Yarrowia lipolytica: one gene and its partners. The protein of the gene in region 2 purifies or fractionates together with the protein of the main gene of each other region. This does not show direct contact. Links are inferred from orthologs where the notes say so. Each region holds a gene or a part of one and is shown on either strand. Other genes may lie near its edges. The genes, in order: YALI1_E05602g, YALI1_F01291g and YALI1_E30886g.

Region 1 (3,326 bases), on a different chromosome or scaffold from region 2:
GAAGAATGGCAATTTGAGAGGAAAACAGTGGTGGCATCACCGCATTCTAACTTTTGGAGACAACCTGGTCATATTCAAAGAGGGTAGGCTCGCATCGTGGAGAATAATCTACGATTGCTCTACTGATTCAGTCAAGGCTTACTTGATCCCCGAAAAGTATGGGTTCGTTGCCGACGTACACCCTGTTCAGTTTGGCAAACACCTGGTCTTCTCCAGAGGTGTGCTAGACATGTCTACCTTTCAATTCTGCACGGTACCCGTGGGCCAGAATGATCGAAAGAAGATTGTCTGGCACAAGAGAAACGGCGTTTTGGTTGGGTCCACTGTAAACAGCCTCTCGTTCCAGTGCTTCTACCTCGGAGATCCCTCTGAGGTCTAGCTACCCCGGTCACCTATATTTATTTTGCTTATTCGCCATATCATCTAATCATTACCTCATCCTGTATTGTATCGTAGTTTATATGCCTATCTATTGTATAATTTCGTGCCAATGGAAGCTGGGGATTGCCTAATCAAAAGGCAAAACACCGGAACCACGCAGTTTGCGCAGATCTCCAGGTTTCTGGCTCATCTCAGAGGCTGCAATGGCACTGGGCACCTTGATTCCACAACAGTCAGCCCAATGGTTGTGAATGTGCTGCACTTCAGCATTGGGATCAGGAGGAGGTGACACCCCCTCAGGAGCCTTGATCAGCTGACCGAACATGAAATGCTGGAGAATGGGGAGCTTGCTCAGAACCTCAGCGTCGTACATCTTAACCATACCCTGGTTCACCTTGGCCCAGGTCTTGACTCCGGAGATGTCATCCAGCATGGGGGAATGCCATCTCAGAGAAGCAGTGGTCTTGACACTGTTGATGAAGTGGATGCAACCCATGTACAGATACTCATGCTTCCACATATCCAACATCTCCATGTCGTGGATGGATAACGGCCGCAGGTACTTGTGGCATGCAAGCTGGGCAGATCCAAACATGAAGGGTAGGAAGTGGTAGTCATCGAGACCCCAGACACCATGAGAGCCTGCAGGCTCCAGCCAATAGCTTGCTTGAACAGCACGCATGGTCTTAAGATACTGGACAAACACCGTCAAAACTGCTGCAGAGGAATCAGTCTCATCTTCCACACACTTGGCATTCTTGGCCTCTCCTGTTGGATCGTGCACCTCAGGATTGTACTCTGGCACATCAAGCAGACCCAGCTGCCTCAGACAGAAGAGGAAACAGATAAAGTTGAGCTCGTGGCCAGATCCGAAATCAATTCGCGTTCGGTCACCAAAAGAGGCAGCGAAATATGTACAGAGCTCCACGAGCTGCCAGTCCTCCAACTCTCCCAAATCCGAGATCCAGTCCTTGGCGTTCTCCTCCAGAGCCTGATGGAAATCTCTGAACTCAGGTTTTCCGAACCGTGACGACGTAGCATCTTCAGGCGGATACTTGGCGACAAGATCAATCACCTTGTCGAGAATGGCCACCAATTTGCCAATGATTGGGTGCTTCAGCGTCTCGTATGAGTTGCCCTTGCCCACCACATAGTAGTTGAGCACCTTCACGAACCCAAACACTTGCTTTTTTGTGTCACTGGCGCCAAATATTTCCAGATCTTTGGGCGACAGAATTCGCCGTACCGGGTGTGAGTGTGACATGTTGATAAAATTGTGCGCTGTGTTGAAGTGGTACTGTAGTGCTGTCTAAGTATCGCGATGCCGATTATTCTGTGTGGTTATGCAAGGTAAAAACCTTACTCCAACGCCCCCCAGGACGACCGTTGATATTAAGCTACAGTGCGTGTAAGGTTGGACCCCAACCCCCGTGACACAGCACTTTTCTCCTCCCAACTGACGCATGTGATATATTACTGTACCTATGGCTTGCATCGCATGAAATCTCTACCTCGGATCTCCACCGTCAACGTCTGGTTTTTCGTCGCAACCTCTCTGAGCTATCTCGTTACCGCCGCATTTCTGTTATTTGTCTTCTGCGTCACATTTGTGTCTCTTAAGCTCGCTCTTGCCGCCCTAGCCATCGCCCTAACATCTACTCAAGCACAATCATACGCTCTGAAAATGGCCTCCCAGAAACGACTCATCAAGGAGCTGGCAGCATACAAGAAAGACCCCAATCCTTGCCTAGCATCGCTCACAGCCGACGGCGATAATCTCTACAAATGGACTGCCGTCATGAGAGGAACCGAGGGCACTGCATATGAAAACGGTCTCTGGCAGGTGGAAATCAACATCCCCGAAAACTACCCGCTACAGCCACCGACCATGTTTTTCCGAACGAAAATCTGCCACCCAAACATCCACTTTGAAACCGGAGAGGTGTGCATTGACGTTCTCAAGACGCAGTGGTCCCCAGCATGGACCATCTCTTCTGCATGCACCGCAGTGTCGGCCATGCTATCTCTGCCAGAACCAGATTCGCCTCTTAACATTGACGCAGCCAATCTCGTGCGATGTGGCGACGAAAGCGCCATGGAAGGTCTGGTTCGATATTACGTCAACAAGTATGCATCGGGAAACTAGAGTAGTTGGTACAAAACGTCGTAATAAATCAATAAGTTATATGAGTTAGTGGGAACTGGACTCTAATGTTCCCAGTATGATATAGCGGGGTTCATTCTAGAATATAAGTGAGACACAAAATCGGCGCTCAAAAAAGCGTTCAGTAGGAGTCATCCTCCTCTTCTTCTGGCTCCTGCTTCCGCTGCTGCTGCCGCTTGAAGTCAACCTTCATCTTGACGTCCCAAAACTTTCGGGTAACGTCACTGAGAGGCCGGAAGGGCACCATCTGCTGGAGCATTTCCTGGGGAATGAGGTCCATGTCTGAGTGCGTCTGCTGTCGCAGCACAGACTTGAGCCACAGCGAATTTTCGGCCTTGGGAACCTGTCGCTGGTTTCGGAACTTGTACACCTTGCTGGGGATCTCTCTCTTTCGGTCGTCCAGGCTCAGCAGCAGAGGCTGCATGTGTGAGGCGAGCGCCTTGTGGAGGAAAATCTCGTTCATGGACTCTCCGGTGTGTTCCTTGACGGTGAAGGGGTGTGGCTGGATGCCGAGAATGCGGGTGGGGGACGAAGTGTTGCCACTCTGGTGTCGCGAGAAGTTTGGGGTGAAGTGGCTACGACTGAACATGTAAGGGTTGTTCTCGTATGGAGGAGCTGGTGCCGAGGGGGCAGGCGAAGATGCAGCGGTGGATGTAGTGGATGTGGATGTAGCAGTTGTGGAGGCGGTCTTGGGCTGTGGAGCTTTATTAGCTGCCTCGGGTTTGGCGTCGGCCTTGACCTCGTCTTCTTCGCCCTTCTTCACGGGCTGGGGAGCCACGTT
Region 2 (4,183 bases):
CATCCTTGTTGAGCTCCGGAAAAGGGGTGGGATCAATCGCGTAGAACCGCCTGAGTGTGGGCATGCTGTTGAGTGAGAAGATTCAGAGCTGATGGCGACGTCGTGGTAATCACGTGACTGTATCAGTGACGTTGTTGAATATCAAGTCGTGGGGAAATCTGTTCTTCTCTGAACAACAGATCTCTAGTATTTGTTGTCCTTGCTAAACGAGGTATAAGTGCCGATACAGTACATAGTGTACGAGTATAAGTGAGTAGCATGGATACAGCAACTGATGTGACCCTACTGAGAGACCGGAGTGGTGTGAGAAAAGCCGGTGATTCCAGTGAAATGATGAAGACTAGATGGTACGTAATCCCCGTGTCTTTTTTCCGGCAGATTTTGGCAATTTTTATACATGTTTCACATTCGAGTCTGGCCTATTTTTTCTCTCTGAAATTTTGGTTTTCATTTTTTTTTTCTTCATATTTTTAAAAAATTCATGTTTTCTGGCTTGCCTAATTTGCTTCTCTGAACCTCCCCCCACTCGCATCTCGGGTGCAATTCCCACAACACCACACTGACGGTAGGGTAATGGGCGGGTTGACTGTCGACCATGAGCAGGTGGGTTTTTACGAGTACAGGTACTTGCACGGATCTACATGTACATTTCTGGGGGTTCTCGTGATGTTGAGAGTTCTGAATAGATCAAAATCTTCCGGCTCAGCTTTTATTCCAACTTATCTATACATCATCGATTTAGAGTGTTTAGGACTGAATAGTACATACACTGTACATATATGAACAGAACATGTCTCTCAGAATCATATTTGGAGAGAAAAAATAATCAATAAAAGTCAGCAGCCGATATACCAATAGCAATCTGAAACCACCATAAAAGTTCTAATACCTCAAATGTACCTTCTATCGCCCCAAAAGTGGTTCTACTCATCTCCCCAGGCCAGTCCTAACCTGTGAGGTTATAGTGATCTGTGGAATGGCGGCATGCACGATAATAATGGGTGGTAATTTGACAATGTGACAATGTGACAATGTGACAATTTGTTAGTGGAAAAAACTTTCGTGCACCTATAGATTAAGAGCCAATTGAGTAATTCGTGCCTATAGATTAAGAGCCAATTGAATAATTCGTGCCCCAAATATTCCTCATAATTGACGGGCCCAGTCCTTTTTTCACTTGCTACTGCAACTCCAACTGCTCACTCGCGGGTCGAGGTTGGGAGAAAGTGCATCAAACTATACGGCGAGAGAAACATGTACGTGTTTACTAGAAGACAATTGTCTGATGAGGCCAAAGTAGTACAGCTAGAGACGTGAAAAAAACACATCATTAGACAATTGTGGACCGTCTGACCAATCTCGATAATTTTCAGACCCCCACATGGCCCCAATTTTCCACAAACCCGACCCCCGAACCAGGGCCAGGGTTGCGACAAACCCTCGACATGCACGTTAAACTGAGCTTGGGTGTGACCATCAATCACCACACTCTCTTCACAACAACAACCACACAACATAGCCATCAACGTGAGTATGAGAGGGCGAAAGAACCGCAGGAGAAGGAACAGTGACACAAAAGGACGGCAATTAGTTTTGATGGGATAGCAGATCTGCTCCACTCACTCATGAGACTTGCCGCCCGCGCTCTGCCCCTGGTCCCACCCACTAACCCAGATGGAACAAGAAAACATTGACATTCCTGACGAGCTGTACCCCCTGGCTCTGCTCATGGACGAGCTCAAACACGACGAGTTTTCGCTGCGAATCTCTGCTATGAAAAAACTGCAGCTCATCGCCGCAGCCCTACGCCAAGAGCGATGCCGTGACGAACTCATCCCCTTTCTGGAGGATGTCACACAGGAGGACGAGGACGAGGTCCTGACCGTGCTGGCTGAGGAGCTCGCCAACCTGGTTCCCTACATCGGAGGCCCCGAGTACTCGCACCTGCTGATCCCCTCTCTAGAGACCCTGTCTTGCATGGAGGAGCCTGTTGTTCGGGACAAGGCCGTGGAGTCCATCAACCGAATCTGTGAGGGATTGCCGTCACGTGATCACGTGGCCCAGACCATCCTGCCTCTGGTGAAACGGCTTTCTTCTGCAGAGTGGTTTTCCTCCAAGGTCTCTGCCACCGGTCTCTATGCTGCTGCCATTCGACACTGTCCTACCGAGGCTGTTCCCGAGCTTCTCAAGCAGTATGGAGAGCTCACACGAGATGACACCCCCATGGTCCGTCGAGCTGCCGCCACCCACTTGCCTGCAGTGATTGAGGCTTTGCCCGCGGAAGCTGATTCTCCTGAGGCCGACGACGAAATCTACTCCATGTTCAAGGCACAGGTGGGCGACGACCAGGACAGCGTGCGACTGCTGTCGGTCAACGTGCTGATTGCCAAGGCCGAGAAGCTCAAGCGACAGGGCAACTCGCAGCACACGTCTTCGCTGATCGAGTTTGCTCTCGCACTGCTCCATGACCCCTCGTGGCGGGTGCGATACATGTGCGCCGACCGGTTCGAGAAGCTAGCCGAGTCGCTCACCTCAGTGGTGCCTGAGGAGGGCGTGGAGAAGACGGAGGTGGACGAGATGGAGCGAGCTTTTGTGCCCGAGTTCATCAAGTTCATGCAGGACGGCGAGGCTGAGGTCCGGACAGCGGTGGCCAAGCAGGTGCCTGGCTTCTGCCGGCTCGTTACCCCCGCCAACCTCGACAAGATTGTTGCCAACGTCGAGGAACTATCTCAGGACTCGTCCCAGCACGTGCGGGCTGCTCTGGGCTCCGAGATCTCGGCCCTGGCACCGCTGCTCGGCAAGGAGAAGACAATTGAGACTCTGCTGCCTACATTTCTGCAGATGCTCAAGGATGACTTCCCCGATGTGCGGCTCAACATTATTTCCAAGCTTCATCTGGTCAACAAGGTGATTGGTATTGATCTACTGAGCCAGAGTCTGCTTCCTGCAGTCTCGGATCTCGCGCAGGACAAGCAGTGGCGAGTGCGCCTGGCCATCATCGAGTACATCCCTCTGCTGGCCACACAGCTGGGCGTCTCCTTCTTCGACAAGGAGCTGGGTCCCCTGTGCATGACCTGGCTGTGGGACAGCGTCTACTCGATTCGAGAGGCCGCCACACAGAACCTCAAGAAGCTGACCAAGGTGTTTGGTGTGGACTGGGCCAAGGACGAGATTCTGCCCCACATTATCGTCGTTGCTGCGGATTCCAACTACCTGTACCGACTCACGGCCCTCTGTGCCGTGACCACACTCATCCCCGTGGTGGACGAGTCGATGATCAAGACATCCATTCTGCCGTTCATTGCCGAGCTCATCAACGACCCCATCCCCAACATCCGTTTCAATGTGGCCAAGACGTACACAGAGTTGGTGCGGGCTCTGCACGAGGAGAAGATCAGCTCGCCTGAGGTGATTGAGGAGATTTGCACATCGACCGTGATCCCCCACCTGGAGCGGCTTTCCACCGACGGCGATGTGGACGTGCGCTACTTTTCCACCAAGGCTCTGGAGGACATTGCCGAAATCAAGAAGGCTCACGCATAGGGTAGGAGACGGGCTGTGGACATGAATTAGATGAATAGTTAATGAGTATAAACGGACGCGCGGTAGTGAGAGGCCGCTTGCAAGAGCCCTGTAGCCTTTACTTTGAGAAGAGAAAGTAAACGGTTTTAATACGGCTCTGGTTGAAGTGGGTGATGCGAGTATGTAGGAGGCTACTTATAGATAGTTCTTCAGGAATGTAAGTTACCCGTGTATACCGAACAACAGGGCTAGACGCTAGACGCTACTCTTTGTACCAACTCGTACCTGTACAGAACCTGTTCAGGACGGGTGCCTATTGTTAACATGCCCAAGGGTACGATTACTCTAGTGCACTTGAATCGTACAGTACTCTCTTGAGAGAGTCAATTAACCGACATTGTAGACTCCTCGCTTCTCGTACCCATCGTACAGTACATGAACTCGTGCCGAACGCACATCAAGAGAGGTGCAGCACTAAGTTGTCCCCTCATCTTGTCGAGTTCCCACACCGTTGCGCACGCACCCAGCTCGTATTGCAGTCTACAGTAAGGATCAATTATCTGTGTTTGGAGCGTCTCGGCTACATGTTTCTGTTTCAGCCGTTTTGTTTTGAAACAGAGACAGTGGTGAGGTGACCCGGGTCACGGTTTCCGAAGAGTCA
Region 3 (3,663 bases), on a different chromosome or scaffold from region 2:
TGCAAAATGTACGATATAATAGATATGAGACAGTCTATTCTCTATTCGTCAGAGCGAGCTATGACTGCTTGTATTTGTAGCTATTTGTACCATAATTCCCATTCCATTGCTCGAGAACCAATAATGTCCACCACAATACAACTCTACCGAGAGTTGCCACCACTCCTTGCCATAAATGAGAACAAGCACAACCCTGCAGCAAGCTATCAACGCGTGCCCATTTTAGCACGAAAAAAGGACCACTTTCAATTTCATAATTCGGAAAAATTATCAGCCCTCGGAATAACGTCAAGCGAAATGAAAAATGAGTAGGAACGAAAAAGCATGCGCCTTTTCTTGACTCCTTAGGAACGTAAAGCTAGAAAATAGCCCAATTGCCTTGCTCAAATCGAAACAAAGATGACCCCCACGAAGCAAGATACAGTCAAGGCCTAGACCCCCCACCTGCATTACAACCGAAAGTGGTCAATTGACGTGGCTACATTGCATTAGCGAAGGCTACAGCACAGTGTACAGTTGCACAGGTTTATCCATGAATAATCAATTGCTCATATATCGTCCCCATTCTAACATCATCTTTTATACATAACTTACAAGGTGTTCTTGGCGTTGAAAACCTCAAAGGCAGAGTCGAGTCGCTTGGCCATGGTCTTCTCACCCTCTCGGACCCAGACACGGGGGTCGAAGTACTTCTTGTTGGGCTTGTCATCACCCTCGGGGTTGCCGACCTGCTGCATGAGGTAGTCCTTCTTGGAGAGAATGTAGTCTCTGATACCAACAAGGTAAGCGTACTGCAGATCAGTATCGAGGTTGACCTTGACAACACCGTTATCAATGGCAATCTTGTAGTCGGAGTCGGAAGAACCGGATCCACCGTGGAAGACGAGGAAGAGAGGCTTTCCGTTGCCGTGCTTCTCGGGAGAGCCAACCTTCTCGGCGGAGTAAGCCTGGTGCTTCTCGAGGAGCTCGGGGTGCAGCTTGACGTTGCCGACCTTGTAGACACCGTGCACGTTACCGAAGGCAGCGGCAATGGAGAAGTTGGGGGAGATGGGAGCGAGGGCGGAGTAGACGGCGTAAATGTCCTCGGGCTGGGTGTAGAGCTTGGAGTTGTCGACACCAGTGTTGTCAACACCATCCTCCTCACCTCCGGTGACACCAATCTCCATCTCGAGCCACTGGTTCATCTTGGCGGCTCGCTTGAAGTACTCGGCGGTGGTGGCGATGTTCTCGGGGTGCTCCTCCTCGGAGAGATCCACCATGTGTGAAGAGAAGAGGGGCTCACCGTGAGTCTTGAAGTACTCCTCATCGGCGTCGAGCATACCGTCGAGCCAGGGGAGCAGCTTTCGGGCACAGTGGTCGGTGTGGACGATGACGGGAATGCCGTAAACGGGAGCAATGGTTCGGATGAACTGGGCAGCGGCAATGGCTCCCTGGATGGAGGCGGTCTGATCCTTGTTGTCGACACCCTTGCCAGCAAAGTAGGCAGCGCCACCCTGGGACATCTGGATGATGACGGGGGACTTGTTGGCTCGGGCAGACTCAAGAACGGCGACAACGGTGGACGAAGAGGTCACGTTGACGGCGGGGAGGGCGAACTTGTGCTCTCGGGCGTACTCGAAGAGCTGGGTTAGTTTGTGTAGAGAGTGTGTGTTGCTAGCGACTTTCGGATTGTGTCATTACACAAAACGCGTCGTCTCGACACTGATCTTGTCGTGGATACTCACGGCTCGGACATCGTCGCCGACGATGACACCGGACTTTCGCTTAAGGACGTCAGTAACAGGCATTGTGTGATGTGTAGTTTAGATTTCGAATCTGTGGGGAAAGAAAGGAAAAAAGAGACTGGCAACCGATTGGGAGAGCCACTGTTTATATATACCCTAGACAAGCCCCCCGCTTGTAAGATGTTGGTCAATGTAAACCAGTATTAAGGTTGGCAAGTGCAGGAGAAGCAAGGTGTGGGTACCGAGCAATGGAAATGTGCGGAAGGCAAAAAAATGAGGCCACGGCCTATTGTCGGGGCTATATCCAGGGGGCGATTGAAGTACACTAACATGACATGTGTCCACAGACCCTCAATCTGGCCTGATGAGCCAAATCCATACGCGCTTTCGCAGCTCTAAAGGCTATAACAAGTCACACCACCCTGCTCGACCTCAGCGCCTTCACTTTTTGCTAAGACAAACTGTACACGCTGTTCCAGCGTTTTCTGCCTGCACCTGGTGGGACATTTGGTGCAACCTAAAGTGCTCGGAACCTCTGTGGTGTCCAGATCAGCGCAGCAGTTCCGAGGTAGTTTTGAGGCCCTTAGATGATGCAATGGTGTCAGTCGCTGGATCACGAGTCTTAATGGCAGTATTCGTTCTTATTTGTGCCATTGAGCCCCGTTATCCTCGTATCTTCTACCCCCCATCCCATCCCTTTGTTGGTGCAACCCTACCCATTTATTGTTGGGTGCAGCCCAACCGACGTGGAGAGCTTGGCTTGGCCATATAAAAAGGCCCCCCCCTAGTGGCAATGGCAGAAAGTCAGCTGTGAGTTGTTGAATTTGTCATCTAGGCGGCCTGGCCGTCTTCTCCGGGGCAATTGTTCCTCTATAGTACTGCGTACACTGTTGTTGCTACGTACGCACTCATTACTTAGACTCCATACATCCGTCAAGCAGCCGCGCAGTTGTAATTACTGTACATACATTTCTGTAGTAAGGGCGCTGACAACGGTCCTCGATGATCCTGGAATGGTCTGTTAGTTACTCGTTCGTTAATTTCTTCAACGGCGGCATCTCTAGCTCCAAACGAGTAATATCTCTCTGCTGTAGCACACTCTCTCTACCACGCGCACGCGCCAGGCACGCCTCAGCCCCCTGCCCAATCACCGACACCGGAAGCTCTGTTCCGATCCTTTTTCGTTGTTCCGACACCAACCTTGTTACGTGGAATCTGACAGAAGTTTACCCCACAAGGTGTTGGAGGAGAATGTATGTCATTCTGGAGACGTTCATTGAGAGGAGAAATGAGTACTCAACATATGTGGCCCAACCCGTGGCAATTGCCTCAATTCTAAACGCCCATTCACCCGTGGAATGCACCCGGAAATACTAGTACCATACCCCGCAACTTGTCTCGGCCTAGATGTGCGTTTATACTTTGAAACCGTGCGTTTTTCTGCAAGAGAAACCCCATGTGTGCCTTGAAATGAATGATTGCTGCGGTACTCGTAGATAATTGTGCGATGGCTCTTGAACTTTGCTTAGTGGCGTATCTAGCGGCTTGGTGGGGAATATTACGGCCCAGAGATACCTGTACTGCTGCCATTACTAATAAAATTAAGAAACAGTCTAGACTGTCTGGCGGAGAGCCTAACCTCATATTCAGAGTTAGGTGTCTAATATTGGAGTTGCATGGTGTGCTGGTTGGGACTTTCCCTAACAGAGAGTCTACAGTATCGTACAAGTAGGAAATCAGCTGGCGCTGGTTCTACCCCAGGAGTACAAGTACAAGTAGACTACAAGTATCGTACTTGTATGTATTCTACTTATACCGGGTTGATCATGAGGTTGCGGCGATAGAGATCGTACCAGTACAACCACGCGGCGGTACAAGCTGACCTCCACGACAGCTGACCTCCACGGCAGCTACTGAGTCAGCCACAGTACAACTAAGT

The links.
Region 1: the proteins of YALI1_F01291g (region 2) and YALI1_E05602g purify together in Schizosaccharomyces pombe (affinity purification with mass spectrometry, with the first as the bait; 3 studies listed by BioGRID). This does not show direct contact. The link is inferred for Yarrowia lipolytica from reciprocal best matches to the Schizosaccharomyces pombe genes paa1 and ypa2.
Region 3: the proteins of YALI1_F01291g (region 2) and YALI1_E30886g purify together in Schizosaccharomyces pombe (affinity purification with mass spectrometry, with the first as the bait; 3 studies listed by BioGRID). This does not show direct contact. The link is inferred for Yarrowia lipolytica from reciprocal best matches to the Schizosaccharomyces pombe genes paa1 and fba1.

The regions. Positions count from the first base shown.
Region 1 is NC_090774.1:558,519-561,844, reverse strand, and holds YALI1_E05602g (uncharacterized protein), read right to left. Parts: upstream 1,646-3,326; coding exon 509-1,645; downstream 1-508. Other genes in the region: YALI1_E05630g (uncharacterized protein), read left to right, coding at 1-379; YALI1_E05599g (uncharacterized protein), read left to right, coding at 1,880-2,527; YALI1_E05584g (uncharacterized protein), read right to left, coding at 2,667-3,326.
Region 2 is NC_090775.1:127,474-131,656, forward strand, and holds YALI1_F01291g (uncharacterized protein), read left to right. Parts: upstream 1-1,674; coding exon 1,675-3,543; downstream 3,544-4,183. Other genes in the region: YALI1_F01275g (uncharacterized protein), read right to left, coding at 1-64. UniProt on the Schizosaccharomyces pombe protein: Phosphatase 2A affects a variety of biological processes in the cell such as transcription, cell cycle progression and cellular morphogenesis, and provides an initial identification of critical substrates for this phosphatase.
Region 3 is NC_090774.1:3,086,760-3,090,422, reverse strand, and holds YALI1_E30886g (uncharacterized protein), read right to left. Parts: upstream 1,788-3,663; coding exon 1,725-1,787; intron 1,623-1,724; coding exon 591-1,622; downstream 1-590. UniProt on the Schizosaccharomyces pombe protein: Catalyzes the aldol condensation of dihydroxyacetone phosphate (DHAP or glycerone-phosphate) with glyceraldehyde 3-phosphate (G3P) to form fructose 1,6-bisphosphate (FBP) in gluconeogenesis and the reverse reaction in glycolysis.